2 linked regions of the Arabidopsis thaliana genome follow. The protein of the gene in region 1 purifies or fractionates together with the protein of each later gene. This does not show direct contact. Each region holds a gene or a part of one and is shown on either strand. Other genes may lie near its edges.

The links.
Region 2: the proteins of VIP4 (region 1) and TAFII21 fractionate together in Arabidopsis thaliana (co-fractionation; one large-scale study listed by BioGRID). This does not show direct contact.

What each region holds. Positions count from the first base shown.
Region 1 is NC_003076.8:24,596,739-24,614,809, reverse strand, and holds VIP4 (leo1-like family protein), read left to right. Parts: upstream 1-7,084; 5' UTR 7,085-7,281; coding exon 7,282-7,398; intron 7,399-7,661; coding exon 7,662-7,993; intron 7,994-8,162; coding exon 8,163-8,292; intron 8,293-8,415; coding exon 8,416-8,616; intron 8,617-8,938; coding exon 8,939-9,115; intron 9,116-9,481; coding exon 9,482-9,613; intron 9,614-9,813; coding exon 9,814-9,993; intron 9,994-10,082; coding exon 10,083-10,211; intron 10,212-10,300; coding exon 10,301-10,390; intron 10,391-10,483; coding exon 10,484-10,735; intron 10,736-10,826; coding exon 10,827-10,964; 3' UTR 10,965-11,176; downstream 11,177-18,071. Other genes in the region: AT5G61180 (Putative endonuclease or glycosyl hydrolase), read right to left, coding at 565-756, 924-1,405, 1,493-1,943; AT5G61170 (Ribosomal protein S19e family protein), read right to left, coding at 2,608-2,680, 2,967-3,150, 3,223-3,313, 3,569-3,652; AACT1 (anthocyanin 5-aromatic acyltransferase 1), read right to left, coding at 4,671-6,029; AT5G61140 (U5 small nuclear ribonucleoprotein helicase), read right to left, coding at 11,499-11,582, 11,685-11,816, 11,902-12,051, 12,148-12,318, 12,408-12,575, 13,566-13,661, 13,761-13,823, 13,895-14,060 and 16 more. UniProt on the Arabidopsis thaliana protein: Component of the PAF1 complex (PAF1C) which is involved in histone modifications such as methylation on histone H3 'Lys-4' (H3K4me3). Involved in regulation of flowering time. Required for the expression of the flowering repressor and MADS box gene FLC.
Region 2 is NC_003070.9:20,213,399-20,229,073, forward strand, and holds TAFII21 (TATA binding protein associated factor 21kDa subunit), read right to left. Parts: upstream 1,868-15,675; 5' UTR 1,737-1,867; intron 1,488-1,736; 5' UTR 1,472-1,487; coding exon 1,211-1,471; intron 969-1,210; coding exon 678-968; 3' UTR 501-677; downstream 1-500. Other genes in the region: RSH3 (RELA/SPOT homolog 3), read left to right, coding at 52-363; SPL2 (E3 Ubiquitin ligase family protein), read left to right, coding at 2,082-2,453, 2,681-2,779, 2,868-3,029, 3,121-3,242, 3,425-3,544, 3,629-3,905; NF-YA5 (nuclear factor Y, subunit A5), read right to left, coding at 4,183-4,476, 4,591-4,764, 4,850-5,308; CID3 (CTC-interacting domain 3), read right to left, coding at 7,955-7,987, 8,085-8,153, 8,246-8,344, 8,442-8,585, 8,668-8,885, 8,990-9,020, 9,120-9,183, 9,250-9,377 and 6 more; BRX-LIKE3 (BREVIS RADIX-like 3), read left to right, coding at 14,299-14,430, 14,741-15,117, 15,402-15,479, 15,633-15,675.

The sequences.
Region 1 (18,071 bases):
ACCTCAAAGATCATTATATCTATTACTCTAAATTTAATTAAAGAAACAGATTAGCTTGACTTTTAAGTTTGTTTTTGTGTTTCCGCCCTGAAATATGACTTGCATTATACATAGCTTCGTTCGAGCAATCGACCTGGCAAAGCTTACAGCGGAAGGTTTTCGATTTTGCTTCGGGTTTGATTACACCAATGACATTAGCACACTGACAACAAAAATCAATTAAGAAAATGGTTTCAGCTAAAGAGTACAAAAAACTGTCAAAACTATTATATCAACATTCCAGTAAAACATTATTTCCCACATATATATATATATATATAATCACGTTTAAGTAATTATCACTTCACATCATCATCTACTAGGTTCCCAATTTTTGAAAAAAAAAAAAGTTATCAACGTGGGCTCAGCTCTCGGCTTTTATCCAAAAACACAGACGAGACTAAATGAAAACCGAAACCAAAAGTTGTTCAACCAACAACTAAAGATGAGACTCAAAAGACAAGTTTGGGAATTAACAAACTCTAATCGCATTATGTCTTCCCTCCAAAATCTTATATGAAACGATTAGGGGGTCCTGCAGATGCGCTTTTTGGAATGCTCGTTTTGGTCTTCAAGTTTTTCTTGGTGGCTTTTCCCTAAGATGTGTGTTTCATAACTTGCTTGGCTGCGGAAACGCAAACGGCAAACTCGGCACCATGCATACTTTGGTTCGGTTGAATTACTGACAAGAGGGCGTCCACGGGCTACTAGCTCAACCTACACAAGTTGAGAAAATGTACAACAACAATTGTCAAGACTATATCAACATAAAACATATATATATATGTGCCTCACATCTAATGCCCGTAGAGTGAACTCAAGATTAGGCTTAAAGAGAGGACAATATTCAAGCACACATTAAGAAAAAGAAATGTATAGCTTACGTTAGCTCTGTGCCTTCTACCAGAGAGGTGAGCGGTTAAATCATGGTTTGAGCAAGAAACATTGCATAATTCACAAAAACTCCGGCCCCTCTTGGTCCCTTGAGCTTGTTTAGGACCCAAATGTCTTGATACCTCATAGGCAGAATCATGATGATGACGTCTAGTAGTGAGATCAATAGGTATGTTAGGACAATCGCCATTAAAAATGCTTGTCCATAACCATACGGTCTTTGCAGCAGCGATGAGTGGCGTTGAAGCTTTCTCAGGTCGAGCCAAAAGAATGTTATACCTCTTCATACCTAGTTTGTGAAGAAGATAAGAGAAGTCTTTATCACCAGAGATGAGCATTATGTTAGCAGGAGCTTGGTTGTCCATTGCCCACAACATGATATCTACAAGGAGCTTCTTGTCACTCCCGTCTTTTACTCCTGTTAAATGCTCACCATCATCAAGAACATAGAGAATAATTAAGCCATTAGAGACTACAAAGCAAAGACTGGTCTCACTAACTCCAAAATATTCATACTTTAATTTATAGCTAATCAGGTGTTTCAAGAAGAGAGATTAACCGGCAGGGACGTGATTGAGAGATACGCCGGTGGAAGAGAGAGCTTGTTGTACAGAGGAAGGGATTTGATTTGTGTCACCATAGGCATAAATAGTGAGCGGACCACAGAAGTTACTTTTCGACAGAACTGATCTAATGCTCTGAGCAACCCCATGAGGGTCACAACCCTTTGGAACCTCGCAGTTCTCAATGTCCCACCAAACTGACGTTTTTGCACCAGCGAAATCCGCCTTCGCTGATTCATCTACGTCCGTTTTTGGTTGATGGGTGTCTTTGGCCGAGATGTGACTGAGTCCAAAGCGGTTAAAGACCAGAGGCTCATCAAGAGGAGCGACTTGATCGGTGTTGCCATGAGTAAAAATGGCATCAAAACTATTGAGAACCTCGCGGTTCTCTGTGTCCAGCAACGCCAATGATTTAGCAGTTGCGTACTCTGCTACTGTAGCCGCCATTTTTAAAAGAAATCAAGTGTTCTCAAACAGAGAAACTGAAATGGGAGGTCAGGGTTTAGAGATTGTGTATGAGGCGTGAGCTTTTGAACTGGAATTAAAAGGGGCAACGAGTTTTAGAAACTAACGGAGACACCCTAAATTAGTGGAGTATATGTTTTCTTGAATTTGAAATGTCCCTCAATTTTCGAAATTTAAAATGTGATCATATAAATTGTAGTATACGTAACGGTTTCGATTCTCAAGATTTTGATTTTGTTTTGAATATTACAAAATAATAAATGTAATTCGTTTTTTAATGGTTACCTCCGTTTACAAGAAATTTTAAAAACTTTGAAACGTTCACAATTAGTTATTGGTAATCTCTGTTTCTACACTTTGATTTTGAAGAAGAACGAGGAGCTTAAATGTAAAAACCTAAACAAGCCATTATCAAAATTTTGATAACTAATTTCATGAAATAGAAAGGAAAGGAGGTCAAAGATGAAATCAAATATATAAGCCATAAGTCGCTGAGAATAAAAAGAGAGGCAATTTGTAAACGAAAACTCATCAAAACAAAAATGAGAGGGAATTCTACTACTGGTTTTCATCAAATGCAACTCATTCCATTACTAAATCTCAAACATAAACCTTAAACTTGGAGTTGACCATCAGTCGCTATGATTTAGACAGCAGCTGCGATCCTTCCAGCGACTTGGTCGAGATCTCTCTGACCACTTGATGTGATCTTCCTTCCACTGGTTACATCAGAACATGTAATCATAAGCTAGCGAAGATGAACAATTGCTTCCATAGGTATATTAGTAAATGACGCAGTAGTACATTCTAAAACCATTTATACACACTTCATCTAGTGAGTTTTAATAGGTCACAATTACAGTTTCAGCAGATTTCTTAAGCGAAAATCGAATCCAAGTGTCTAACTTGTGTTATACAATTTTTATTTTCCTACAATTTCTTTGTACCAGTGTATTAACTTAATTTAGGCCAATGAGAAATCTAAACTAGAGACAATATACTTACCCCTTGGTGTCGAGGTCAACAATGTTCATGGTCTGGAGTTGCTGAAGAATGTGACGAGCAACACCACCACTGCTCTTGCAGAAATGAGGAGGACGGCTTCCGTTCCTCTTGCTTCCTCCATAGATCCTACGGAAGGCACCAACTCCAAGACCACCCCTCAGGTAAACCTTCCTAGCCATGGAAGCTAAATAGAACAGATAAAGACAATGCTAAATCCAATATGTAGAAGATTTGACCAGATGTTATATATACATACCAGCTCTGATGTAGTACCAGTCAGGGTCATATGGAGCAAGCTCCTTAAGTTTACCAGTCTTGACGATGTCTGTCCACAGAGGCAGCTCAATCTACATGGAAGGAACAACATTGGAATCAAAAGCAGAAACCTATCTTCACTGAAATGACACTAGCAAATCACTGTTTAGACTTTATTGAGATTTGTAGTTACGATTCAAAATGCTCTAGAGTAAGGCCAAATTCAAGTTTCAATCAGGCAGTGATCATTGCAGTTTCATGAGGTAATCGTAATCCCAAACATCAATCAAAATACTAGATTAGGGACAAACGATGCGGACCAAAAGCTAAGAATCACGATTCGTTACCTTGCCGGAACGCTTGAGATGGGCAGCGTAAGCCTTGACGAACTCGTGTGGAGAGACATCCTTCACTGTTTTACCTGTCGCCATTGTTGTCGCGCCTTTGATCCTTCTTCTCCTCCTTTGTGCTGCGGCGTCGGCGATACTTGAAGACGGGATTGAGGAATTATGATAAACGATTAGGGCTTTTGAGGAGTGTGTGTGAGCGGATTTTACATAACTACCCTTATTGTTTTAGCCTATGGGCCTATGACATATATTCGGCCCGCTAAACTCTGAACCCTTTGGAAAATATTGTGGTCCCACGTTTCTGAGAAAATTAAAACAAGGATTTTTTTTAAAAAAAAATTTTTTATAGATAAAAAAATAGAACAAAAAATAATATCACAATTTCGTAAATTATTGTTGTTTTTCCGAAAAAAAATTCTTTGTGGAAAATACACGAGTAGTCATATGTTATTCATCATTTTTCTATTTAAAAGTTTACTAAAAATCTGGTGAAAAATGATATACATCTTTTTTGTTACTAAAATTGTTTTTTGTTTATCTAAATGTAAAGATTAGTACCCACATTATTTAATTGTTTTGTCTATCTAAATTCATGTATTTTTAGGGGAATAATAAAACCAGTTACCAAAATTTAATATAGGGTTCAGGAAATTAATAGAAGAAGAATAATGAGATTGATTTACACAAAATATGGTAATTGAGTGGGGCAAAAATAGGATTTGAATTTCGAGTAAGGGGGTCAATTTAATATTTGAACCCAAATTATATACTAAATACCAAATAATTAAGCTATTAAATTTTTTTTTGTAAAAGTCATGGGGTCAAGTGACCCCCCTCCTGAAGCTGTACCTCCGCCACTGCGTATCACAGCTTTTTTTTTCTGAAATCAAAGTTTCGATTTTTCAAAGTAGGGGGAAATAGATTCACTGATCATGAAAAGTCTACTAATATTTCAAATATGGATGATTATTGTACCCCAAAAAATAGAATTCAAAAGACAGAATCAATACAAATTTGCGTAGTACATATAGGGCAATTATTGAACTAGAAATAAAAATACAAATAAGCAAAAGCTGGGATCGATTAAGACCGTACGTTTTCAGTTTCCAATCCATTTGTAAAATAAAGACAGAAAAGTATCCATCTCAAGTTTCTTCAAAGAGATGCCAATCTCGACGCCACCGATACCATCTCTCCTCTTGGACATAGAGAACTCATCGTTCTTGTAGATAGACATTGTCTCAGTGTGAATGGGTCTTCCCCACCCGAAGTCCGTTTCGTACATCCCAATCTGGTTCGACCCGTTTACGACCAACAACTGTGTACCCCATTTCATTGTCTTTGTTCCTTCCTCATACACTTTCCAAGTTGACTCTACCCCTTGTGAAGCCAAACGTTTGACCGAATCACTGAGAATCTCGACGGTGTTGACAAATCCATCTTCTCCCATAAACTCCTTAGCTTTGTATTTATAGAAATCCATGGCTAAGACACAAGTCCCGAAGTATGTCACAGGGACTGGTGGTTCTAACCGGTTCCTAAAATCAGCAGCGTACATGAAACGAACCGGTCGGTTTGGGTCACCACTACGTGCCTTCACCATGCATGTCCACACATGGGCGAACGTGACTACGAACGTTGACAAGTGAAGCTCAGCGCGTGTTGACTCTTTCTTGGCTCTCTCCTTGAGTTTCTCAATGTTTTCAGGACTTATCTCGATGGTGATTCGGAGGACGTTGTCTTTAGCGTTAATCTCTTTGACTGGAGGTAGCTTTAGGGTTCTTCCGTTCTCTTTGTCGTCCTCCGTAAGATACGGCAGAAGTTCGAGCATCTTTTGTTCAAGTCCGGCTGGAACATTGACGACAGAACGATCTAAAACCGTTGGTAGAATTTTCGGTATGGTGCCATGTTTACAAGTGTGAGCCCATGCTTTGTTAAATTTTTCAGCCGTTTTGCCGTCCAAGACGACATGGTGGGCTGTGGTTCCAATGCAGAAGCCTTGTTTCGGGAACAAAGTGACTTGCAGAGATACAACAGCCCCCGAGTCAGAATAAATCGGTAGCTCGGGTATTAGAGGGCGTAACTCTAGCTCTGGACGAAGCCCTCTGCCAGAGATACGTGAGAAATCCGCATCAGTCTCAGCCACTGTGAGAGAGAGTGTGTCTCCTGAGAGAACAACTAAATGCGGCTTTGGATCTTGTGAATCCCACTTAAGGTGACCCGTGAATAGGCGAAAGTGAGTGAGGATGAGTGAAAGAGATCGCTCGAGCTTGGGGAGGATGGAGGAGTAGAAAACGTCGCGAGATGATGATGATTCGGTGAGTTTGTAAAAGAAGACTTGCTCGGTAGGGTTGAGTTTAAGCCACTGTAAATCAAAGAACGAGAGTGGGACAATGAGCGGGTCGACGGAGGCGGTTGCAGGGCTGACTCGGGAGATCTTGATCACCTTTAACGCCATTTCTCACTTGTACTCTCGTCTTTTAGATAATATTCCTTTGTACGTATGAGTTTATTCAGCTGAGTATCAGATGGAGTTAACTCTTATACTAACATAACAAGCTACCGAGTCAGCCCTAGTCAAAAACGTTGGTTGGAAGCCAAGGCACGTAATTACCATTTGAATTATTTTGGTCCCTCCAGAGGCGGCCAGGCGGCTTAAGCCAACTGCGACTGCCAGATATCATAGATAAAAATTGTTATATATATATATATATATATATATATATAAAATATATAATTTTATTTTTGTGGTTTATATTTATTATTTTTGGTGGTAAAAACATTCTTAGAAGATAAATTTTTGTAGATAAAAGGCTGAAAAATAAATTTATGGAAAATATATAAATAAACATTTGTGAGCAAAATGTGTCTACATAAAATTGTAATTTTCTCGAGTTAAAAAAAAGCAAAAAGTGAAATTTCCAAAAGCCTTAAACTAGTTTGAGTAATTTAAAAGTGTCCATAGTTTTTTCTTTTTTCTTTTTATTCCATAATTTCTTGAGTTTTTCAGAAATTACTATAATTCTGTTTAAATTTTCAGGATTTCCTGAATATTCATGATGTTTAGTTGTCACTTAAGTTTTCATAGAACACAAGTCGGTTATGCTTTTACCTAATCTTTGTCTCTTGTTAATTTCTAAAGCAGATAAAATCTATAAACCAACAACAATGTTTTAGAAGAAGACATAACATTTATTTTGGCAACTCAAGTTATTTGATCAAAGAAGTTAATAATTAGTTTTTAAAATAAATTAAATATAAAAAAATAGGGGCCAAAAGAATCAGTTAAAAGGATGTTGTATCATTCATATACATAGGGGCCAAGGCAAACACAAGCTCACTATCACAAAGAAACTGGTATCCATAACCCAAAATTTGTGGGCCAAAAATATTGAATTCCAATCTCAAAAAAGCCCATAAAATCCCATCTTTTTTCCCTCTCTAGTCGTCGTTACACGTAAAAAAAATGATTTTTAATAATCCGGTAATGCGTTAAAAAAGATATATCGATGAAAATTTCCTTTTCTTTGTAAGTTGTAACAATTGTTTTTAATAATAATAATTCTGATGCCATAAAATCGCGAGGTAGAGATGAAAAAAAAATAGCTTCTTCAACAAAGGCCGATAACAGTGAACCCTTCGTCGGAGCTCAGATCACGAGCCGCCGTCACCAGCTAAGAGGCAGTGACTTTTGAGTAAGTGAGGCGAAGATGGTTAAAGGAGAAAAGAGATCCGAGATGATGCTTAATCTGTTCGGAGATAATTCCGAGGAAGAAGAGATCGAATCCGAACATGAATGCAATCGTCGTCAGCCTAACTACGCTTCCGTAACTCTCTCCATCTTTATCTCCTTCGTTTCGTCACTATTGATTGTTTCAGTTTTCGTATTTTTCACTGCCACTGTTCTTCAATTACACCTTGGAATACGAATGGTTTCTGGAGTTCTTCTCGCTTGAATTTAGGGTTTTAGGTTAATTGCAGGAACCAATGCAACTTATTAGGCCTAATTCAGCTTCAGTTCTTCTTAATATCAACTAGACTAAGATATCAGTGAAATTGTGGCTGAAATTTCCAATGTAAACACTGATAGGATGAGGCTGAGGGCGGGGTGGAGCCTGAAGGAGAAGGTGAAGCTGAGGTTGAAGTTCACGGAGAAGCTGAAGCTGAGTCTGACGGGGAACAGGGAGATGTAGAACTTGATCCTGGAGAAAGTGAGGGTGAGAGGGAGCAAAGTTCACAGGAGGCTGATCCACAAGAGGAAAGTGAAGCAAGAGATAGTGATAGTGATAACAAAGAAGAAGAACATGGGGGTAGAGTAGCCAAAAAGAGGAGACAGGAGGTTGTTGAGAGCGGATCAGAGAGGTCTGGTGAAAAGCATTATGAGTCTGAAGATGAAGAGGTTGATCAGACTAGGAGTCCAAGGTACCCCTTTTTCCATTCTTTTTTTTCCTAGCTGTTTCATAGCTTCTTTTTGATCTTTTCTGTGCTCTGGATTTAATAATACTTGCTAGTCCTCTGAGGTTCCTTGGATTTTCAAATTTCTTATGGATCACTTTGTCTTTTGTACATGGAAATATGGCGTGGTGGGTAGATCACCTAGTGAGGAGAAGGAAGAGGTTCAAGTTGCACAGTCAGACGTAAATATTCGTAATGTTTTCGGATCTTCGGATGATGAAGACGCAGAAGAATATGTTCGGAATGACGTTGAGCAGGATGAACATGTGAGTCTTGCATCTAATATTACATTTCAGTTTACAGAATATCTGTTTCCTTTCCAGTGTTTGCTTCCTTTTAGAAACCATATGAAATTGCATGTATGTATGATGAGATGTCTAATTTTGTAGAGATCGCCAATCGAAGATGAAGAGGGCTCTGAGAAGGATCTGAGACCCGATGATATGGTGCTTGATGATATAATCCCTGAAGAAGATCCTCAATACGAGTCAGAAGCTGAACATGTTGAAGCTAGGTACAGGGAGAGGCCAGTTGGTCCCCCTTTGGAAGTGGAGGTTCCTTTCCGCCCTCCTCCAGGTGACCCCGTTAAGGTATACCTGCTTTATGTTGCTAAAAGATTATTCGCTGACATGGCTTCAAATCAATAGTTTCCTTTCTGGTATTTCCAAGTTACCAAAATCTCTCATATCATTGTGGTTCGAAGAGTGAGTATCTGATGTCTTTTATGTGGAGAACCATTGCACTGAAACATGCTTCTACATTTACTTAGCATGAAGGGCCATTTGGTGTACATGAGCGTGCTATTCTGTTTTATATCTGAAACCCCATTTTCTAGTTGTCTATCTGTAGTGAAGATGTTCTGTAGCAAAATTGCGCTTCCTCATATACCGTTTTCTCTTTGATCTTTTTCAGATGAACATGATAAAAGTTTCCAATATCATGGGGATTGATCCAAAGCCTTTTGATGCCAAAACATTCGTTGAAGAAGACACATTCATGACAGATGAACCCGGAGCAAAGAATCGTATCCGTTTGGACAATAATATTGTTCGCCATAGGTTTGTTAAGAGTCGAGATGGCAAAACATATGTAAGTGAACACTTCTTCAAAGCTTTTCTGCTTTTAAATTTTCCATCAAACCTGCAATGAAGCTATGTAGTTTGCCTATTACTAGTACTTCTGATGCAATGATGTATTATAAGTACATACTTTTGATGCAATTTATGTATTCCGAATTAGTTTACTTTGTGCTTTTCACTACGGACATGTGTTCATATAGTTGGAGATGAAATTTTATGATATCTCTGTTCAACAGTTCTTCTTATTCTTTAGGCTTCATTAGAAATCTGCCCATAAACAAGAATTCTTGGTTTTGTTGCTTATTGCACACATTTCTTCTACTTTTTCCGTTACTTTTGCTGTAGTAAACTCAAGTCACTCTATATTCGTATGCAGAGTGAAAGTAATGCTCGGTTTGTAAGGTGGTCAGATGGAAGCTTACAGCTATTGATAGGAAACGAAGTTCTTAACATAACTGAACAAGATGCAAAAGAAGACCAGAATCACCTCTTTATCAAACATGAAAAGGTGTTACTTCGTCATTCCTTCTGCCTTAGTTAGCGATCAATTTGTAGTTGCTCCAGCCTCCTAGATACACTGATTCATTTTAGAGCACCCATACGATTCTCTATACTAAATGACAAAACTTCTCATTAGGAAACCAAATGTCTCCTGCATTCCAACTCTGCTATATCTCAAAGTGTTGTCTTATTTGGATGTTGGTGTAGGGTATCCTTCAATCACAAGGAAGAATTTTGAAGAAAATGAGATTTACCCCATCATCGCTGACGTCAAATTCCCATAGGCTCTTGACTGCCATTGTTGAATCGAGGCAGAAGAAGGCCTTCAAAGTTAAGAACTGTGTCACTGACATTGACCCTGAGAGGGAGAAGGAGAAGAGAGAAAAGGTTACCTCTTAATTGAGCTCAGACAATCCAACAATAGTTTTATTGCAGTGTTTGTAGACTTTTCTCATTTAATATCTCAAATTCTGAAGGCGGAAAGCCAAAACCTCAAGGCTAGTACAAAGCTGAGTCAGGCGAGGGAGAAAATCAAGCGCAAGTATCCACTTCCTGTTGAAAGGAGACAACTTTCCACTGGCTACTTGGAAGATGCTCTTGATGAGGTCTGTTTGATTAGTTTGTGTATATTGGGTTCTTCCATTTTCTAAAGCAAAGATTGCACTAGTAACGACTGATTGTTTCTTGGAACCAGGATGACGAGGATTACCGCTCAAACCGTGGCTATGAGGAAGATCTCGAAGCTGAAGCGCAACGGGAACGCCGGATTCTAAACGCCAAGAAGGTAAACAAAACAAAAACTCATATATCTCGGAATGCAAAAAAAGCATTAGAAATTGAACTAATATTCAACTGCTTCTCACTGGGGTAAAACCAGAGCCACAAAGGCATTCCGGGGAGGTCTTCAATGACTTCGGCCAGACCGTCAAGACGTCAAATGGAGTATTCTGAGAGTGAGAGAGAGGAATCAGAATATGAGACGGAAGAAGAAGAGGAAGAAAAGTCACCGGCCCGTGGAAGGGGCAAGGATTCAGAAGATGAATATGAGGAAGATGCAGAAGAAGATGAAGAGGAACGAGGAAAATCTAACAGATACTCAGATGAAGATGAAGAAGAGGAAGAGGTTGCGGTACGCAAATTAGAATGTTCTTCCATTTTTATTGTTGTCAATGAGGAAGTTCATTGAGATTGTAATGTGTGGTGAAATGTGGTTTATGCAGGGAGGTAGGGCAGAGAAGGATCACCGTGGAAGTGGCCGGAAAAGGAAAGGGATTGAGTCTGACGAGGAGGAGTCTCCGCCTAGAAAAGCTCCGACTCATCGTCGTAAGGCCGTGATTGATGACAGTGACGAAGATTAATCATGTTCGTCAAATCTTTCACTCTCCTTTCGTCCATTTGTTATAATGTAGTCTGGAATTAGACTCGTTTTAATCAAAATAAAGACAGAATCATGATTTTTTTAAATTCATGTAATAATGGATTTTATTTCCCTTCTGTAACTGTAATGAATAATTGGTAATTTGATATGGAGATAGTTCAAAATAACGTAAACTTGTTGACCCAAACAAATTTACCAAACAGACTGTCACAGAGTAAACACATTTAGTTTTAATCTCTTGATTAATTTATTATGTAGTCATGTAGCCCAATTTTTTTGTAACACTGTTCTACATAACGTTATGTAAAATTAACACATTTACCTTAAGCTCTTCATTATTTTTCTTATGTATCTCAAAAGATCTGTAACACTGTTTTATTACAAAACGTAAGGTAAAATTTGGTTTTACATTAAGAAGACGACAAAAAAAAACCAGAATTTTAAGAAAATTTTGACAATATATAAAACAAATTCCAAAAAAATATGGGGTTACTACAATCCATCATCTAATGGCTCATCCGCGTCGTGCAAGTTGTTCAATGGAGTGTTCTTGTTCAAACCCCAAATAACAATCCGAAACTAAGATGAGTTTCGTATCCTGGCCAAAAAAAAAAAAACCAATTCAGCAATAATAATATATACATAGAAGTGTAAGAAAGAATGATTTAGTTTGAGAAAATAAGTTGAAAATTGTTTGTACCTGAAAAGAGGTTATATTGGGAGGTAACTCCATGCGTGTGATCAGACGACCAGTGAACGAAACTCTCTTCACAGCAAAGAGCTCAGAAGTTGAAGTATCACCAAGAACCAACCACCACGCTTCGTCTTTCACCTATAACACAAAATAAACGTGTTGAATTCAATTTCATTTTTGTTTCGAGCTCAAACTAATCTGTGGTTAAGTCTTTAAGTGAAACCTTTGGGAATCGAGGGGCCAATGCCCTCGAGCTATTCCTCTTTGATGTCTTTTCCAATCTGATTTCCAGCGTTGAAGGCTTTTTCTTGCCATCGGAATCCTTCTTTTGGAGTCTCACATTCATTTGGATCCGTGGGAATCGTTGGAGATCCTAATTAAGATCGAAGAGTGCAGCAGAGAATAGTTGAGACTCCATGAGTGAAAGTATTAAATGCAAAAGAAATAGTTGTGACCAATTTGAGAGCACCTGAGATAATCTTGATGCAGGGAAGTTTTCGGTTACACTTTGTAGAGTTTCCCTTGGAAGATTTAATAGCTGATGTAGCGTGTGAATCCCTCTTGCGGTCAGAGATCCTAGAAGAAGGTCATTCATGCATGGGATCATCCATAATGACGAATCTTGATCAGACCACATGCCCTAGAATTAAAAAGAGAATTGGATTCCTCTTAATTTGCAAAAGTGAAATAATTTGAACAAGCTAAGAGTAGTAATCTTCAGGACACTACCTGCATGACCATTTGCAAAAGGCGCATACACGTCAGTGAGCTTGAGAGCCATCCACTGTTTGCGCAGATATCAATCATGGCCTGGAGGATCCGAATGCTTTGATCCAGTACTGACTTTAAATCCGTGTTATAATCACTGATTGGAAGTGCCAATTGAGAAAAATGTGCCTGGAGCAATGGATGTCATGCATTAAGAAGATGGTAACAATCATGAATTATATGATTAAGGCCCTGTTTGTTTCATCATTTATCATTTCCATTCAAATGATCCACTTACATGATTCATTTGAATGATACATTTGAATGATGTTTGTTTCGTTATTTGTAATTTAATATAAATGATGCATTTAAATGGATCTTTATTTGTTTGATCATTTTGTAGTTCATTCACATTTTCATTTAGATAAAAATAACTAAAATACCCATGTTTTCATTTTAACAAATGACAAATATTCAACATTATTACCCACTATCAATACCAAACATATTGGCGGGAAAATATGATTTTACGGTTTTGGCGGAAAAATACGATTTTACGGTTTTGGCGGGAAAATATGATTTTGCGGGAAAAATGATTTTGCAATTTTAGCAGGAAAACATGATTTTGCAGTTTTGGCGGAAAAACATAATATTGTCATTTTGGCAAGAAAATATAATTTAGTGGTTTCAGCGTAAATATAGTTTTATGATTTTAGGTGGAATAGCGATTTCTATAATTTTACATCAAAAATTATGATTTTGCGATTTTTGGCCAAAAAACGCAATTCCACGATTTTACGATTTTGACATAAAAGAATAATACGTGATTTCATGATTTTTTGAGAAATCTATAGAAAATAAAATTATTTAAATTATGACTATAAATGAGGGTATATTAGTTTTTTGTTATTTTTGGATGAAACATCTCCATCCAAATGGTTTAATCAAATTCATCCAAATGAGTTTCATAAATTTGCCTAAATTTAGATACTCATTCAGATGTATCATCCAGATGATCCATCCAAATGCTTGTTAAATTGTCAAAAACAAACATCATTTTTCATCTCCATTTGGATGGATCATGTGGATGGACAAACAAACAGGGCCTAAGTCATGAACTCACACAGTTTGGATTTTTGTTTCATTCTTCAGTGCATGATAGTGTGAAGAAGTACATACCTGGAAGAGCAGATTCGCTTTCACATGAGGATCATCTAGATGGTTATTATCCACGGGATACCGAACTCTATCTGACAGTGTTTTATTGTAATTTTCCTAAGGGACACAGATTTTTTTTTTTTTTGACACCATATCACTAAAGATACTTTTAAAAATGAACCATATATTCGTCAAGTAAAACAGTATAGACCAGACCTCATTGTGCCGCACAGGAAGTTCATCATACTCAGAAGCACCAGCCAAGATATGCAAAAATGCCTAAAGGGCAGTGGTTAGAAACCAAAGAAAAACAAAAAGAATAATCAATATAAACTGGATCAGCTTCTTACTTCAAGCGATGTGTCAGGACCTATATTAGAGCCAAACATAGACACGGTCATGTAGCAAAGGTAATACTGTGACGCTATTGTACCCAGCATCGTAGGCTCCACACTATCTTCATTTACTTTGAGGCAACCACTGTCTTCAAGATCCTCAAATGTGGTTTGCACCAATCTACACAAAAAGCAGCCCGCATACACCAATATTACAATGGTTCTAGTTAGAGAAATCTTCTTTATTTAATAACTTTGATATTTACCTTGATAAGTAGGAACAGATTGTTTCGTCTTGAGTACCTTCTAGCCCATAGTAAGCAGGATTAGCCATCTGTTACATCAAATACCAGATTGAGTCATGAACTGGTTATTCTGCAGTAATGGAAAAATCTGAAAGGAAAAAGAGAATCTGGCTGCAGGGAACTGATCATGCTTTTAGCACAATTTTTCAAGGAACCAGAATCACGTTCTCAAGTAGTATCTCGCTTTTTAATAAAACTGAAGCATATTTACCAGTCTACGAAACAAATACGTCCATGTAAGATAATGCACTGCATCTTCTTTGTTGCCTATTGTTCCAGAGACGATTTCCGCATTGAAGTGATCGTGCAGCTTCTCTTTCAAACTACTTTCTACGGGGAATGGTTCGTACAAGAACTGCATGCAGAGGAAGTATGATCTTTTTGAGGTAAATTGTTGCAACGGATACCAAAAATTGCCAAATAATTCCAACTGAGCTTGACCTTTTTGTAAAAGCTTTTTTTAGGTTCATGTACAAGAATAACCGCTTTCCCATGTTGGTCAAACTGTGGTCGCCCTGCACGTCCCATCATTTGCAAGATCTCTGTAAGAGGGAAGTCAACATATCTTTTGGTTTTCCCGTCGAAATATTCTGTTCCCTGATAGGAAACATTGCCAAAAACAACGGTATTAAAGAGAAAAGACAAATCATTAGAGGAGAAAATCCAAGAAAGTGATCCCAAACATAATAATAGAAGAGGACCTTCTTTTACCTTTATAATAACTAAGTGAGCTGGTAGGTTCACTCCCCATGCCAAGGTACTTGTTGAGACCAAAACCTGTAATGGAAGCATGGATTCCATCATCAATCGTAATGTAAAAGTGTAACCATGGATACGGTAAAGGCAGCAGAGAGAATATGTTGAGGAAATTGCCTGAATCTTGTTGTTCGTGAAAAGCTCTTCGACTGCAGATCTATCGTGGTCGTTTAAACCTGCATGATGCAGTCCGATGCCGAATTGCAACGTATGTCGAAGGTTTTGATCAGTTATCTGTGAGAGGACCATCTGCAAGTCTTCCTCTGACACACTCAGAAATTGCCGCGGATGTTCGTCGGAGGCAGCAAACTTCATTTCATAGGAAAAGAAGATACAAAGGATGATACAAATTAGAGTTATATAGTTAAAAGATGATTCGGTATCGGTGTTTGATGATAAATCATGCCTGAATAAGATCCAATGCAGTAAGCCTTGTCTGCCTACGGGATGAAACAAAGATAAGAACAGGTTTCGTAGGTGAATGAGTACATATGGCTGCATATGCTGGCTTGTTCATGCTATTCATCCTTGGGCAGTAATACTTTCCAGGATAACCCTGAAAACAATAAACAAGGTTAAGTCTGGAAATTTCATACTTGTATGGTTTCCTTGAATACCTTTAATCCACCCACCGAAAATGGAAATTAAATAGCGTAGTCAAGTACAGTGTAGGAGACATACATAAATTTTTTGTTTAAGAAAGGTATTAATTGTTTGCAAACTAGAGAAAAGATATTGACTTACCTGAATATGAACTTCAATTGGTACAGGCCTGACGCTTGGTTTAAAATTGAAAAGTCCGATCTCCCCAACACCCAACCAGTCAGCCAAATCACTGAAAAGGGAGACTTGAGAGAATAAGTAAAACTGGCTACCAGAAAAATTGGGAGTAAGGTATATCTTAAGCCATCTTCCACATTAACATTTTCTAGTAAATAAGACTAAAGTTGAAAGTCTTTCACTCACAAATCACACTATAAGCACAATGTCATCAGCACAGAAAAGACACGAATAACAGTCTACCAGCTCGAACATTCAGTTGCGTGTTTAATGATAATACATAGAAAAGAGCATATTCAAAGAGTCTGAGAAGTTAAAATACGAACCCTGCATTTGCCAGAGCTGTAGAAAGCCCAACAAACCGGACGGAGCGCTCTGTCTGTGATGATATATATCTCATCCTAGATACAATAACCTGGAAACCAAATGTAGATCAAAAATAAATCTGGTGGAACACATAACTTTGAAAAAACCTGAGCCGAAAAGATATAAGCTCTTCACCAAGACCATAGATACATTGCATGTGTCATGATATAACTGGAAACTTCTAACCAATAGATGGAGCTTAGCGTAAGTACTTAGAAAATGGGATATAATAGTTATTAAGCTTCTACCTCAAGAATCGGTCCTCTGTCGGCTCCAAGCAAGTGAATCTCATCCAAAATAACAAGGCCGACCTATATCCCCAGAACATCATAAGTTACTGTTCACAAAAAAGGCAATCTATTGACAAAAATTTACCTTTTTGACATAACTTCGAGTATGCCAATTACGACTAATGCCATCCCATTTTTCAGGGGTAGATATGATGATGTCCGCGGACAAGAGAGCTACTAAATCTGGAGTGTAATCTCCAGTCATTTCAACCTGTTGAAATGCAAGTGTTAGGAATAATATTTGGTAGCCAAATAAACAGCAATCATGGATTATGAGTCTGCAACATGTATAGATGCTCCGAGGCAATATCCTCTTACCATTTCTTTTCCAAGTGGAGCAACAAGATGCTTTTTCCAATCATTCATCCTTTCTCGAACAATAGCCTTCAGTGGTGCTATGTAAACAACCTGCAAGCCACAAAAATTTAGGCATCTTCAGTAAGATAAAATAGAACACTAGAAACTAAACTAAGCCGTGATTTGATATCATTTTAGAGATTCATTTCTTCATTTCAATAGGTAGATTCAGTAAAAGGCTGGCAATTTAGCTGAAACATAATCATGTATAATAAACTGAAACATTAGTCGAAGTCTCGAACTAAATAATTACCAAGCGTTAGGAGAGTGAAAACTCATACCTTCATATCAGGCTGGGTACTGAAGAGACGCAACATTGCAAGTTCAGCAGATATAGTTTTCCCACTTCCAGTTGGAGCTCCTACAAGAACATTGTTGTCTGTGTGATATAACACATGAAAAATCTGCAACACCAAACCATACAATTTTCAGTTAACTAAAAAAGGAGTGATGAAGAAAAACATTTTTAATATAAAATTAGGAGAGTAACAGGGTAAATATGCTCAAACCTGAGTCTGTATTGGATTGAAATGTGAAAATTTGTAAAGCGATTCATACAACTTATTCCCAAGAGAAGTCACAGGAAGAGGTTTTAAGTCTAAAAGCTCTGTGTGAGACGTCCGCGCCTGAATGAAGAAGACTGTTAGGACCTACCTTACCGATAATTTAAGCGTAGAAATGATCTTGTAACTATTTCGGAAATAGCAACCTCTAGAAGATATATACCTCTGGTAGTGCAAGATTGTGAAAAGAGATTGTGAAGTAAGTCTCTGCATGCAACCAAGAATCAGAAACCGCATGAACATAGTATTGTGGTGGGTGTGGTTCAAATATCGGTACGGTAAAAGAAAGCTTCTGTGGTTCCCCTCTAGCCATCCGCTTCGTTAGTGTGAAAAGATCTGAGTGATAGATATAATCATTCTCTGTGTCCTGTCGAAGAAATAGCACAAGACAAGCGTTATATCAACACTGCCAAAAGAGTTAGCATTATTGAAGAAGAAATCATTAGTTAACTAGTATCTAGCACAGAGTATTGACTCTTCCTAGTGTTTAGTAGTGCTATAACATGAGATACTATATCGTTACAAACAGCTCATTCTTTGTCACTGTGACATATGTGTCTTAATGGGAGTTAGATAGTAGTACCTCAATGAGAATCCACCAACGAAGAGCAGTACCATGAAAACGATCCTTCCATATGAAATTTGGAGTTATAAGCAAATCCACCTAAAAATGGTAACAAATTAGATGTTGATAGATAGTTTGTCGTCTGAAAGCTTATAAATTATTGAAGAATCTCTCCATTAGCTACCTTCAATACAGTGCGGGTGATTGGAC
Region 2 (15,675 bases), on another chromosome or scaffold:
TGAGGATGTTTCTTTGCTTGGAGTTATAATTTGATAAACCCGAAAATGCAGATGACTGTGCAAGAGTTTCCCGAGAATTCTACCGTGTCGGACCTGTTACGCAGAGCAGGACCAGGGAGCTCGAGATGGTCAATGTACAGCATCCCGGCAAAGGAAGAGCTAAGGCCAAGACTTAACCAGACACCTGTAAGTGATCTGAAATGCAAGCTGAAGATGGGAGATGTGGTGGAGCTGACTCCAGCCATACCTGACAAGTCTCTGACTGAATACAGAGAGGAAATTCAGCGGATGTATGATCGAGGGCTTGCGTTTTCACGGCCTCACCGTGCAGCTACTGGTACCATGGTTGGCTGGGGAAGCTAACTGATTCTCTTAATTACCTTTGTTCATGTATATATACTATAGTTGCATATATAGTATAATGCTTCAGAAGATTTGTTGTACCTTCGGTATTGTTGATTCCCACACAACAGTGTATATAAGATATGCCTATATGTTCTAAAAAACTGACTCTGGTCATTAATATTTGATTCTCTTACATTCTAAATCTTCAAACCACACATCTGGATCTGGTCCATAAAAACTGGCTCTGGTCATTAATTTTTGATTGTGTTACATTTCTACTTGTTGATACATAAATATTATAGATTTTTTGGTCTATCTACTTATTTGGGTACTTATTTGGGTCGTCTAGAGAGTGGGAAAGAGACCCTTTGAGGAGTTTGGCTTGGAAGGTCTGAGGTTTGTTGTTGCTGCTGTTGTTGTTCTTGAGAGGACTGTCCAGGATCTGTCATTTCTTCATCGTCCTCGGTTTCTTCAGGTTCTGTTGAAACCGACTTCTTCGGTATCACGAGCTGATAATTTGGGCTCAGCAATGTGTCCTGTTCAGGTGGGAGTGGAACACCGGGTCCTGCTATCGATTTTGGCAGAGGTATCTTGTTCCTACTTGCAGCAAGCTCAAGCAGAACCTAAATCAAACATCAAAAACAGAAACTTCAAGATTCAGGAACCAAAAGGCATGGATGTGACAGACAAAAACTTGAGGTTCTCAGTGATACAATTTATGAGGCAAGAGGGTCACACACAGTTCATAAGTCATAAGTAAGAGTGATAATTCCCTAATGATTCACATATACCAAATGACCGATCATATCGCATCTCTTCTCAGACAATGAAGAAGAAGAAACATGGAATCGTCAACAATGCATACCTCTCTTGGAGGAGGCTGTGAGAAGCTGAAATTAACTTTGGATTGAATAGCGAGCTTCACATCATCACAGTCAATGTTGGGTTTGCTAGCATGCTCTGAGTAAACCTGAGCATCTGTCAACACTTCGACCACATACCGGTACCATAACTCCAGAAACTGATGTATCACACGAGGCTCGTAGTCTTCTACACCCATCGACTTAAGCAGAGATTTCACAATCTTAGCATCTCTAGGTACATCTTCTTCACCTTCTCCTGCCATGTTTATCCCTAAACAACTAAAAAAAAAGTAAAGCTACAGAGTCAAATTAAGAACCTTTCTTATACAGAATTGATGTTGCAACAACACAAGTTTCAATCGAATCTCACAAGCAAACATCGTGTAACAGCAACACATTACATAAATCGAATAAATAAGAATTAGAGCTTCACGAATCGGAGATAAGAAAGACAAAGGAGATTCTAACCTAGCTTCATCAATAAGTTCCAAAACACAAGATTATATGCCATAAAGAGGCGATAAATACCTAATGCGAGAGAGAAAGTTTGGTGGAGAGCTAGTGGCAGAAACACGACGGAGAGATTGATGAACGGCGGCGAGGAATCGGGAAATACTAATCTCTGCCACTCTAGATCTGATATTTATGGTTTTGGTTTGTAAATCTGCTGTAACGTTGAGGGTGTAAATGTAATTTAACTAAAACGCTATTTATTACTAGTATTTTGTATTTCACTCGTGCATAGGCCCATTAAAGACCCAAATTAGAACGACGGTCGAATGTATAATATTAAATACCGATAATAGCCTCATTTCTCTTCCGTTTACTTGTCCGTGTGACCGTGTCTACGACGTTGAAATCGAAATTACCACAATGTCCTCGCCGGAGCGTGCTCTCTTGAATCTATTGACGGACATCGCTCTCTCCTTCGACGGCGCAATCCTCGGACTGACTTTAGCTGTTAGCGCCGTCGGTTCTGCTCTCAAGTATGCTTCTACCAACGCCGCGTTGAAGAAGATCAAAGATGCACCCGAAGTCTCCATTTCCGACCTCCGATCACTGCTTCCGGCTTCTGAAGACAAATCAGAGACTAACGATAACAGGAAGAGCAATGATCAGCGAATCGTTGTGGTTCGCGGAGTCGTCAAACCGAAAATTTCCGGTGATGAGGGTTACAAGAACAACAACGTGTTAATCTCTCCGGAGACTGGAGATAAAGCTCTTATCATTCAGAGAACGCAAACTGTACGTTGCTCTAAACCCTAAGTGTTTATGTTTCCCTCAAATTGCAATTGACATTGACCTAATTTTGCTTTGTGTTCTTATCAAAGGCTTAGGTTAAAGAGTTTGGATGATTTCTTCATGATTAGGTGTTCATTGTGATTGATTAAGTTAGGATTATGTAAGTTGGTACTGGTGTGATCTCAGAAGGGAAATGTATGTTTCTAATGTCATCATTTTGTTGTTGACAGTATGTGTATAGTGGATGGAAGAGATTGTTTCAGTCCACTGGTCACCGGTTTATGTTGGAGAGATCATTGCGCAAACACGGTGCTGATTTTACGAGAACGGTAAAGTCTCTCTATCAGCTTCAGAGCTTTCAACTTTGGCTCTGTATCCATGATCAAACTTGTTTTGTGTATCCTTTGCTTTGTGCAGGTCCCATTTGTCATTGTTGGAAAGGATCAGCAATCGAACTCTAGTTTTGTCGCTGTTAACATGGATGGCTCAAGGCAACCTCTTCCGCTTACCACTGTGTATAATCGCTTGCAGCCTATTAATTCTTCGTTTCTTCAAGCCTTTTTGTACCCCGATTATCCTGTGAGTATATATATATTCAAAGAAATTTCTGGTTTTGAGGAACTGATGGTTACTTGTTCTTGGCTAACTTTGTAATCCTTTCTCTTCCAAGGTTGGTCTGCTTGATATAGAGAAGATTTTACCACCTGGGAAAGATATAACAGCTGTTGGCATCTACAGTTTTAATAATGGAGTTCCTGAAATCAAATCGTGCCAAGATCTTCCTTATTTCTTGTGAGATTTTATCTGAATATTTTTCGTTCTTATATATCTGCCTGCGTTCTAGCTCAAATTATTACTTCATCTTCTTCTTTATGTTTTCTCAATCTGTTGATCATTTGACAAGATTTAGTCCATTGTTGCAGAAAGGCTCTATTTGCTGTTCATATATAAATCTTTATGAATAATCTTTGCAGATCAGAGATGACCAAGGACAAGATGATTGAGGACCTTATGGAACAGACCAACTTTATATTCTTGGGCAGCGTTATCTTGGGCATTGTGTCTGTTGGCATCCTTAGCTATGCTGCTGTCAGGTACTGGAGTTGTGAGAGATCAGATTTGGTTTTAGATTTGGGCAATGTTTCGATTTGAAATCTGTTTAACTGTCTTATCTTCAGGACCTGGAATAAATGGAAACAATGGAACCATCAGAGAGAACTGCCACAGAGACCGAACGATTCTGTGGTCGATGATGAACCCGAAGATGCAGATGAAATCCCAGATGGAGAATTGTGTGTGATCTGCGTGTCAAGAAGGAGAGTACCTGCGTTTATTCCCTGTGGACATGTAGTATGTTGCAGGCGATGTGCTTCAACCGTGGAACGAGAGTTAAACCCTAAGTGTCCAGTTTGTCTTCAGAGCATTAGGGGATCTATGCGTGTATATTACTCTTAGTGACCCTGAATCTTCTCTCATTGTATGTAATAGGGTAATGCAATTTGTACTCTCAGAGAATCGGAAGTTAACAAAATAGTTTGACAATGATTTGAAAGTTCGTCAAGTCACTCAATATAGAGTGAGAGATTGTAGAGGATATGAAAGCAAAGTTTTTAAAAGGAAGAAATTTTGTAACCGATAACATAAGTAGCCAAGGATGACTTCCCGTCATGTATCATCACCAGTCTCCGGAGTTTAGCCTGAGTTCTCTCGGAGCAAGGTCTTCTCATGTGCCTCAAGTCCCTGACATGAGAGCTGAGGCATGGTGTGTTGACGGATAACCTGAGAATCTGAACTGCGGGTTTTGGAACATGTTGATACAGTTTGAATTGGAGCTCGGTGAGATCGAACTAGACCCGATTCCGCTTCCACCACCGTGAGGGCTCATAGAGAAATTTTGTCCATTTGCCATTTGAGAAGAACACAGTGAGTTTGATGATTCTTGAAGCTTCTTTGTATTGAGGAAACGTCCACCGGAGCCTCTAGCTCTCTTTAAAGCATGAAGATGGCGAGACTCATGAAGGTACGGCTACAGAAAAAGAAAACAAAACTTTATTACATCAAATCATCAAGATCTTCTGAGTTAGTTTTCCCTCTTTCTCTTTGGTGTTTTAGGCAAAATGGAAAGTGAAAACAGTCATACTTTACGGCATTTGATGAGTTTGTTCTGAGCTTCGAGTTTAGCACGGTGCTTCCTGCGACGGAGAATCGCATGATACTGTTTCGCATTGACAAATATTGGTTCATTCTCTTGAATGTGATGAGGCAATGGCACTCTTGAAGAAACCAAACCCATCATCTCTAAATGTGGCAGCGCCTGCAAAAAGATTTCCCAATCAACCAATCAATGCGCCAGATCGATTCAGAATAGTAAAAGCACAAAAGGCTTCACAGCATATTACCGTTGGTGTTGATGCATATTCAGGAGCCAAGAAACCATTGAAATGTGACGTTTCAGCACATTGAAGAGACCAAGATATTTGACCAGAAGTAGGAGCAGGAAACACAGAGTCTTGAGACACCATCGACGAGGTAGTAATTGACTTAGTATAATTTTCAATAGGCTTTCCCAAGTTTTCGATGTAACCTGAGAGATTGTTATTAACAATGCTGCATCCATAACGCTTATATTCTCCAAAGCTTGCAACTTCACCGCCGCCTGATTCTTCTTCAGTAGATTGTGATGAGGTTGAATCTTGATTTTGCAGCTGCAAACCCGAATGTTTCATCGCGGGTAATTGTGTTGTAGACATTATCATATCCTTAGTCAAGCTGAAAGATTCAGATCCTTGAATATTTGAATTTGTTGTAGGCATTGAGTTTCCCCAAGATGAATCTTCTTTCCTTTGAAACACTTGCATTGTCTTCAAATCTTTACTTCAATAAACTAAATGTCCAAACCAACAAGTCCAGTCATAAATCATATGATATTATTCATGATCCACATAATCAACAAATACAAGAGAGAAATGATACCAAAAGATTATAAAAGCAATCCTAAAACACAGATTCCAGGTTCAATGACACAGTAAGATTGTTTCATGATCTAAAGGGTTCCAAAAGATTCAAACTTTGAACATGGCTAGAACTTACACAACATGCAAACAAAAACTAAAATCGACAGATTAAATTTCTGAGTTTGAACAGATAAAAAAACTCATCAAATCTCATTGAACTTAATGATCCAAGAAAACAGAGAAACCAACCAAAAGATTTTTTTCTCTCATAACTCAAAAATTATTATTTTTAATTATATCATCATAAGTAGAAACTGAGCAACCAAATCATAACATCACTACCAAATAAATTAAGCGAACAAGAAGAGAGAGAGAGAGAGAGAGACCTTTGGTGCTTTGGATTTGGTAAGAAGAGATGGAGAGAAAAAGAAGTTAAGTAATAAGCTTGAGATTATGATGATGATGATGATGATGAATGATGATGATGATGCATGTCTCCTTCCTCAGAACATGGTTGTTTCTTTCTCTTCACTATCTTTCTCTCTCTTCCTCTGTCTCTGCAAATTGGGTATTGGCTATGGCTTAAAAGACTAATCTTGACTCCTTTTCTCTTTTTTTTTTTTTAATTATGGTTTTCTTCTCTCAACAAATGCATATTTATTCACACACAATTTATTAAATATTTTAAAATATTATTTTGTTTCCATTTCTGAATTTATTTGCAGAGTTTGACATTTCTATTTGTGGTATTTTTTCTTATCTTTGTTTATATTGTTTATGTTTCAAAAATTAAGTATATCGAATCAAATCGTGTCACGTAGTGCTTTTATAATTTTCAAATCAGGTTTAGTTTTATTACAAAACAAAATAGAAATATGTAGGCAACAATAAATAATAGAAAAATCTAGTAAAAGATAGATATAAATTTAGAAGTGTGACGCGTGTATAATCTAGACAAGGCTAGAAATATATCTAAATATATAAATGATAGTATTAAAATGTTAGGAAGGAAAATAGAAGACAAGAAAAACCAAAGTAAAAATGTTTATGGTAAATATTTCCATTTATTTCAAAGATGTTTAACACCTTTATTTTTATGTTCATATCAGTGATGTTTTATCAATTTATATGCGATTCTATTCAGCATATATATTACAAGGTTCAAAGATTCTAAATAATATATAGAGGGTATCTGAAGTATCATATTCCTTAATTGTTTCATAACAAAAATGTGCAGAATTCTAAAACATTGTTTATATAGTTGAAGATATGTAATTATGTATTATCTAAGCGTACTTTTTTTTTCTGTCTTTTTGTTTTTGTTTTTGTTTAAGAAGGTGTTTTTTTAATTTAAAAAGCAAAAGTTTAAGTGGAAGGTTGTCAACATCTCTTTATAGCGCAATCAATATAGTAGCATTTAAGCGAATAAATTAAAAATATTTTATATTTGTAGTTGGGGTAATTGATATTATTGCAAGTCAAGCAAAGCAAAGCAAAGCGAAAGAGCCCTTTTTCACATTTCTTGATGCAGCTTCCCCAACACAAAGCAGCAATGAATCGTAATTTCTGCACTATCTCTCTGCATTTAATCCACAACTCTGAATAGTAATTATAAGGAAGACAAAAAAACACTATAAATACACTCCAAAAGAAAGAATATAGTATATAGCAACATTTCTATTTCTTGGACACCTATTTGTAGTTCACTACAATGACACTTTGTTTAACTAGTAATAATTGAAGTAATACGAGACTTTGTATTGTGGGGAAGATTAATTGTTGTTTGCTACACGTACCTTTTACTTATTTGCTTTAGAGAAAAGAAATGCGTAACTATCATGCTTCGAACGAGGGAAGTTACAGGTGTTACTTCAAATATTATTATTATATATCAACAGTATCTAGAAGTTCTTAGAAATCAATTATTTGATTTACCTATGTTTATGTTTATAGACTTACTTAAACTAATATTTTCAAACACGACAAAGTTAATATTTTCGAATCTCCCCTAACCTCGATCCTTAACACACCGCAATAAGATTTATATGCATTTTAGGACAAGACAAGACTAAACCCATTATTAATCTAATAGTTCCAAATTTTAAACATTACGCTTTCAAATCCAATCATAGACGCACTCCACTTTTTCCCTACCATGTCTTAACACGTATATGTAAGATTGAACTACAATCGTTGATTTTCCTTTTCACAAATGAAAAAGTTTTTTTTCCTACCTAACTGTTTTTATATAAATAAAACAAACTCCACACAGAATATGTCATACAACTAAAAGATTTAACGTTAAAGTTTGAATAGGGAGACACAACAGAAGTGAATAAAGAAATGAGATCAGCACGAATCTAATGTAAAATCTAGTCTAATACCTAAACAAACTAAATCACCATCACATCAATTGTGTTCATTTTAGAATAAAAATGAAAAGATTCGGTGCTTTGGAAATAAATAAAAATAAAGTACATTAAATGAAACCAATTCCATCAGCTCGAGACCTTCTCTTGTGCCACCACCATTCATGGTTTTGGCCAAAAGCTAATAAGAGTCTCTTCCTTTGTATGGCATCTCCTGCAATAAAATCAAAGATGTCAGCAAAATCTAACTCTGTTGATCATTTTTTTTTTGTAACTAGACAAAACAAGAATTTTGAAGTAAAGTAGTAAACCGGTTGGTATGGCGTTGGCGGCATGAACAAGATTGGTCTCTGCTGAGTAACCATCATCGGTTGTGGGTACTGTTTTAACATTGATTCCAAAATTCAGTCTTACAATAGAGAGAAGGTAAAGAGTTTTCAAGAGTAATGACTATTAATAGCAATAAACAAACCTGTGGACTATTTGGAGAATAATATGTTTGATTCGGACTAAGCTGTGTTGTATTGTTATACATCATTGGGTGTTGTTGCCCAGGGAATGCTGCTCCCGTCTGTCAATTTTCAACTTAGTGAATCAGAAACATAATAACAGAGACTTAAAGAGTAATTTAGGCGTTGATCACTAGATAAAGAATAAAGAAAAGTTACTCCGTATCGAATATGTAGTCCTGGCATGGGTGGAACAGGAGGATAATAGAATGATCCGTCAAAGACTGGAGATTGAGGAGATTGAGGACGTGTTGCTGATGGAGATGGTTTGAAACTCTTTGCGTTAGGGTTCAGTTTAAATTCCTGGTCGGACCTAATTTCGTTAGTAAAAAGCTTATAGTATTAAGGAGATATTAGATGATAACCTAAGCACTAAGAAAAAAACCTTAGCATTTGGGTTGAGTGTGGATTTTTCTGATGATAAAGAACCCGAAGAGCTTGGTGACAGTATTGGAAGATTTGATGCTGAGGAAGCTGCAGAGTTTTCTGAATTTCTAGAAATGGAGCTTCCAGGCCACCCAGAAGAGTTCTCAGACTTTGCTCTGTCAGAGAGTAGACCGAGTCTTCCATCAATGAAACTTGGCTTCACAGGTGGTGGTGCATCTTCATTGAGGTGGCAATTAAAAACTTAGTAGGAAATTCAATTGGTATCAACATATAAGATGAAACGGGAGTAGATAGATTCGATAAGCTGAAGTTGCACATACCTTCAAAACCAGACACTGATTCCTCAGATGGCTGCGTTAATACAGATTGAAGCCAACAGAACAGTGTTATATGTAATGTTCCATTAAGCAAATGCCAAATCAACACAAGGTGCGTCGTTTAACTTTATACCTTTTTAAAAAGGGAAGCCCCTAGGAATTTGCTCTTTCTTTGCTCACCAAGCTGGCTCTCATTCCTATCAGAATGAGTTTCAGAAACTAGTTCAATGAAAGATATTTTGTATGTTCAAAGGGAAAAAGACCTGATGTTGTTTCCTGCAACAGGAAAATCTTTGGATGGCAGTTCGGACATAAGCTGGCGAGTATGCTTATTTGAGTTCGACCAGCTCTGATCTACCATTTTGTTACTCCGTAAATGCAGGCTGTCACCCTGAAGGACAAAAAATGGCAATATCACCTATGATTCTCCTAGAAACTACTAGGAGTGAAGAACTCAACCATACCCATGAATCTTCATAGAATTTGCCAGTTGAAGCAGGTTCCTTGCCATCAGAAGCAGAAGAATCACCAAAAGTCAAATTGTTGCAGCAATCCAATAATATATCTTCTTCTTCTTCTTCATCGTCTTCATAACACGTATCATCAAATCTATTAGTCGCACAGACCGATGAGTATTTGGTTTCCTCATCAATATCAAACTTTCCACTAAGCTGGAGCCCTCTTTCCTGTGTAAGATGATTGCACGCATGACCATTAGAGGTGAAATATGGTACAACAATAAAACGTAAAAATTCAGTGTCACATAAGACATCCATAATTCACCTCTGCTACGTGAATATCTCGGGTATTCTCACCCACAATCTCTCTCGCAATCCTTAAGGCTTGCTCTTCTAGCTCCCTCGTTCCAGGACCTCTCTCAAGTTTTGTGGTATACAGTTCCTCATCAAAAGTGCTTGTTACTCCAAATAATGTCTTATTGACCTCAAACTGATTCCAGCCCCTACGATATCATCACACACATATAAGATGTCATGAGAAGTGTCGTTAACCCAGGAAGTGTACATGATGAAAGAATAAGAAAAGAGAACAGGGTTAACTAACTGCGGACAGAGGTCTCACACTAACCCGCATGTAATTTTCAATATATGTAAAAAGCTTTTTTATATTCAATTTACTAAGTAAAATGATATTTATTTTGAAAATTACATGTATTATATACTATATTTCTATTTGATTCTGTATAAAAATTAAACTTAAAGTAAAGAAAAATGAAAATTTTATAAACGACAGGCCTACTCGCAAAACCCACCAAAACCCCATATTGGTCCAACCAACTGCAAGGCGGTGTAGCCCGCTTACACAACCTAACCAACCAATGGGAGGAATTGAACTGGGATAAATAAATCTATGGCTACTTGTTAGAGTTAAGAATCAAGAACATGAATAAAATACAAAACTCTTTTTATTAAAAAAAGAATCATAGTACCAAGAATAGAAATCGAGAAAACGATGTTGTCTCCCTCAGCCTAACCCGATACAACCTCCAAAGCACTTTCTAACTTAGTTCACAAAAGTAAACACAGAGGAAAATGAAATAGAGAAAACAGTTTCTATATCAGAAAACAGAAATCCTAACAAAAAGGTAAATATCCTACTTTAATGAATAGCATCATTACCTCTTCCAAGGATCATCAAACACATTCTCCAGATCTGAACAGTCTGGAACATCTTCATCAGGTACCCAAGGTTTCAGCTCTCTTTCCAAATCAACATTATAAAACTGTGATATCAGAGAGTCTGTCAACAGCTCTAAAGGTTTCTCGCACTGAACAGAATCTGAGACGCTATCGCTGGATAGAGGAAGGTCCTAACAAATAGACCAATGACGAAAGAATAATAATGTCAAAACACCAAGTAGTCTTATGTTGTTGCATTCATGTGAACATAAAACCCAATCCCATCTGCAAGAAAGGAGTACATACCTTAGCTATAACTTGCACAAGTTCGTCAGCAGGGATTTTGAGTAGCTTTGAAGATGGCTTGCTGACAGTACGGGATTTGGTTCCTCGTGAATCCCTAATCAAGCATGCCATTTTCAAAATGATTCCTGAAAGTTTCATAGCAGTTTGTAAGGGATAAAAAAAATGTGACCTCTTCTTATATTATATACCATCTCAAAGGAACAAACAGGTTCTCATTCAGAGCCTTACCAAAATCCTTCTCCACATTAGCAGCATGAAATATGCCGCTGTAAACAGATCCATTTTTGAGATGAACTTCTACCTGATGTCCAATATTACAAGTTGTGAAATACACTAACAGCTTCTGAGAAGGGGTATCCACACTTTCAGCGTCCCAACCGTTTTCTGCACATATGTATCAACAAACAAGAGAACGCAGAACATGATGTTGGTGCTACATCAGAGTAAAGGTATATATGTATATGTCTCGAAATATATATACAAAACCTGTATTGTCAACAGAAGGCTGTGCGTTATTCATCCATGCCTCCTTTTCAAATCTCCTGTGTGAAAATCCATTGGATGAAGAACCCGAGTGAAGAACAGGCTTCATAGTTGCTTTAACCTGAAGAAAACGAAAATATCAATAAACGGGTTATTCAATAAGATGATAAAGATAACCGTCTCACGGTACGATGAGCCTAATATGCAAACTGGCCCTCCAATTCGCATTCTTGCTGGCATCAAAACTTCTTTTAGATTTCTTAATGCGATGTAAAAGTTATATTTTTTAGATAGAATGTCACAGTCAATTCCATATTACTAGGGGTTCGTCAACTAAACCCTATACAGAGAAGTAACCTGAATGTTCTGCACATTCCGAGGGAAAAAAGTATGCTATGAATTATCAATGAACTATAGAACTGAAACCATAAAGTAACTCTGATTATGAGCCATGGGAAGAACAACCAAAAACTGCCAATAAGATGTATATTGCTAGCCATTTTCCAGCACAATAGGCATACAACAAAACGTAAAATTAGAAGATTGGTGTTCTATCCACTAACCAAGGATTTGAATCCCATAACTATTTTGCAATGAAATATGTTACATTGAACGTGATTCAATGTTACGAAAGACACAAACTTGCGCAGGCTTCATACATCAAATCAAATAACAAATCATAATCACAGCTCTAAAGAACAAATAACATGACAAACCACAAAAATTCAAATTTACCAAATAATAATAAACAAGACAACTTTTTGCAATCCAAAGAATAAAATTTTCAATACAAAACGAATTTGGCCTAGACAGAGTACCCAAATGAAACCCTAAATCAACCAACTGAATCACCAACTTCTCAAAATTTGAATCAAATTAATAATATTTACCTCAATAAAATCAGAATCAGAAGATAGATATCTGGGAAGATAATATTTACCTCAACAAAGCTGGAATCAACAGCTTTAAAAATCCAATGCTACGAGGAAACGAGTATTGGTAATTTCCGTCGCGGCGAATTAGGGTTTTCCGACAGAGTTAGGGGTTTACCGGCGAATTGAGGAGAGAATCGCGGTAAACGGGTCAACAATAAATCTCTAGAGTTGAGATTTTGATTTGATTTTTTTTTCGTTGTTGCAAACTTTTCAATGAATTGAGGGAATTTAAGGACAGATCGTTGTGTTGTGTATTTACGAGGGTGTGATCACCTACGGATGAGCGTATCATTAAGTTTTTGGGCCTTTTGTTTTGATCCGTTTTAACTTGTTTGGGCTTAACACCTTTGTTGATATATTTATCTCAATAACTACTTCTTCACAAGAGATTATATCTCACACGTTTATATCTCAAACATTATTAGATTATATCTGAAGAAGTAGTTATTCAAAAGTTAATTAGCTATATTTATCTCAATAACTACTTCTTCAGATATAGTATATCCAAAGAGATTATATCTCAAACATTATTAGAATTATCTCAAATTATTTGTCAATTGAGATATATCCAAAGAGATTATATCTCAAACATTGTCAATTGAATTTTATAGTTATTAACTTCTTACAAGTCTATAATACAAGTAGAGAAAGTTAAGTACTAAGTTTTCATATTAAACAAAAAAAAAACTCTAGATTAGGGTTTAAAAAACAACACGGAACCGACCCAAAAAATTGGATTCGAAACCAAACCTGAAAATTTAGATCTATCTTATTGGGTCCTAAACTTCTTCTACCCAAAAATTCGAGCTCAACTAGAACCCGAAAATAACTAAATTTTATCTAAATTTTATCCAAAGATCAGGGAAATCTGGGTATTTATCCAAAAAATTCAGGTATCAGTTCTAAAAAATGTCTAAAAATTTATACCTACACTTACCCGATCGGGTTTTACCAAAAACTGACTCGCGTACCCAAATGCCCACCCCTACAAGATTAACTTTTTGAGAGGGCATGATATGCATTGCTTGATGATGTGGAAGGTGTACTTAAACTCATAATTAATCAAAAGGCTTAAACTTTCAAGGAAGAGAGAAAAAGGTGGGGAGCAAGTCTATAAAATTTGTATTATAGTAATCAAAGCTTTTAGAAATTAAAATGCTAAGGCTTAGTTGCACGCTCTATTAGTATAGTTCTTCGTTTAGACTTTAGACTTTAGAGCAATCATTTCACCACTTTGATCACATATTCTTACTTGTTACCATAAAGTTAAGCATAGAGATTAGAGATGACTAATGTGTTTGGCGTTACTGTATATAATAATCAGACTTGTGAAGAAATTATTTTCCCAAAAGTAGAAAACGAAAGTGACAAGTGGCACAGAGGATCAATAAGAAACACAGTAGACCACACTCTTAAAGCTTTTTGCAGTGTCCAACGAACTCAAAAGCCCAACAAATCTCAAAGCCTTTTTATTACTTTTTTCCCAAATCCGCAGATTCTTCTTCTTCAGCTTTGTATTTCTTCTCCTACAGAGAGAGACAGCGAGAGAAAGATCGATTCTGTCTTTATACAGACATTATCTCCCACTCATTCTCTGTGTCGCTTGAAGCAGCAAGAGAGAGAGAGAGACTGACAGAGACAGAGTTAAATGCGAATTTATGGGTTTGATCTATACAGATCTGTGTACCCTAATTTATGTCTCTGGCGTAACGGTCATATTTAACCCCATTTCAATTTGAGCTCTTCATCGCTGCGTTTCTGTGATCTCGGAGCTCTTCCAAGTGTACGTCTTTTTTGCCTCTTTGTATCTGCACAGTGCAAGAATTGTGATTTTTGGGTATTAAAGTATCTTCATTTCTAGATTTGATCTTCTGGGTTTTGCTTGAAATGTGATTTGGGTTTCTGGTTTGATCTCATAGGGTTCGAGTAGTGTCAAAAGAGAAGGTGAGAGATGCTGACGTGTATAGCTTGCACGAAGCAGCTTAACACCAACAATGGCGGATCTACTCGAGAAGAAGATGAAGAACACGGAGTTATTGGTACCCCTAGGACTAAGCAAGCGATTAAATCACTGACGTCACAGGTAGATTAATCTTTCTGCTGAGTCACTTTCATGGATTGTTTTGGTTGCAAGTGAAAATGGCGGGACCATTCTAGTTTCGTTGTTGGTTTCTGTTTGGGAGCTAAGAACAAAAAAAAACATGTTAAAGCATGACTCATATGGTTTGGTAGAGACTTGACTCTGAGTCTTGAATCAATATTTCTTTTCTTGGTTGAGTTTGAATAATTCTTCAAACATTTATTCCTATGAATTGTCAGTTACTCTTTTATCTGTAATTTTTGTCAAAGCATGCGTCTTTTGTATGTAAGTAACTAATTATTGTTCATTTCAGCTAAAAGACATGGCAGTAAAGGCTTCAGGGGCATACAAAAACTGCAAACCGTGTTCTGGGACAACAAACCGGAATCAGAATCGAAACTATGCTGATTCGGATGCTGCTTCAGATTCTGGAAGATTCCATTATTCATACCAGAGAGCTGGGACTGCAACCTCAACTCCTAAGATTTGGGGGAATGAAATGGAGTCAAGGTTAAAAGGGATTTCTAGTGAAGAAGGTACACCTACGTCTATGAGTGGTCGAACAGAATCCATAGTGTTCATGGAGGATGATGAGGTCAAGGAATGGGTTGCTCAAGTGGAGCCTGGTGTTCTCATCACATTTGTGTCATTGCCTCAGGGAGGGAATGATCTTAAGAGAATTCGGTTCAGGTAATCGTTTCTTGCCAATATTGAACTGAATATATGTTTTGTGTTTTCCCATTGATCTGCTTTTACTGTCTTGTTACGGCATGTTAGGTTCTGAATTTGGAAATAGTGGTTCTTTTTCTTCTTCTTTTAACACTCATGAGTAGTACAATTGTTGATGATATTATTTGTGGGACTACTGTACTGAGAACACTTGTATTGTTTCTGATTCAATTGAAGTCTAGATGACCCTGAGCTTTAACAAGTCTTTCGTTGGCAATGGTTTTCATGCTATTGCTGAAATTAAGAAGCACCAGGTTTCCATATTACCGAGACCAGCTTCTGTTGTGGTGCCGTCAAGGATGGGTATTTTGGCCCCAGAATTGGTATCTCTAGCTCTTGGGGATTTTTTTGTATTCTGCGGATGCTGAGTTTTTTTGTGTTACACGTTAGACCTGTTTCCCTTTGTGGCTAAGCTAAAAGATGTTTTGGTGATTCGAAGCTAGATGGTAATGTTTTTAAATTGTTACTTCTTGTAGTCGTGAGATGTTTAATAAATGGCAAGCTCAAAAATGGTGGGTG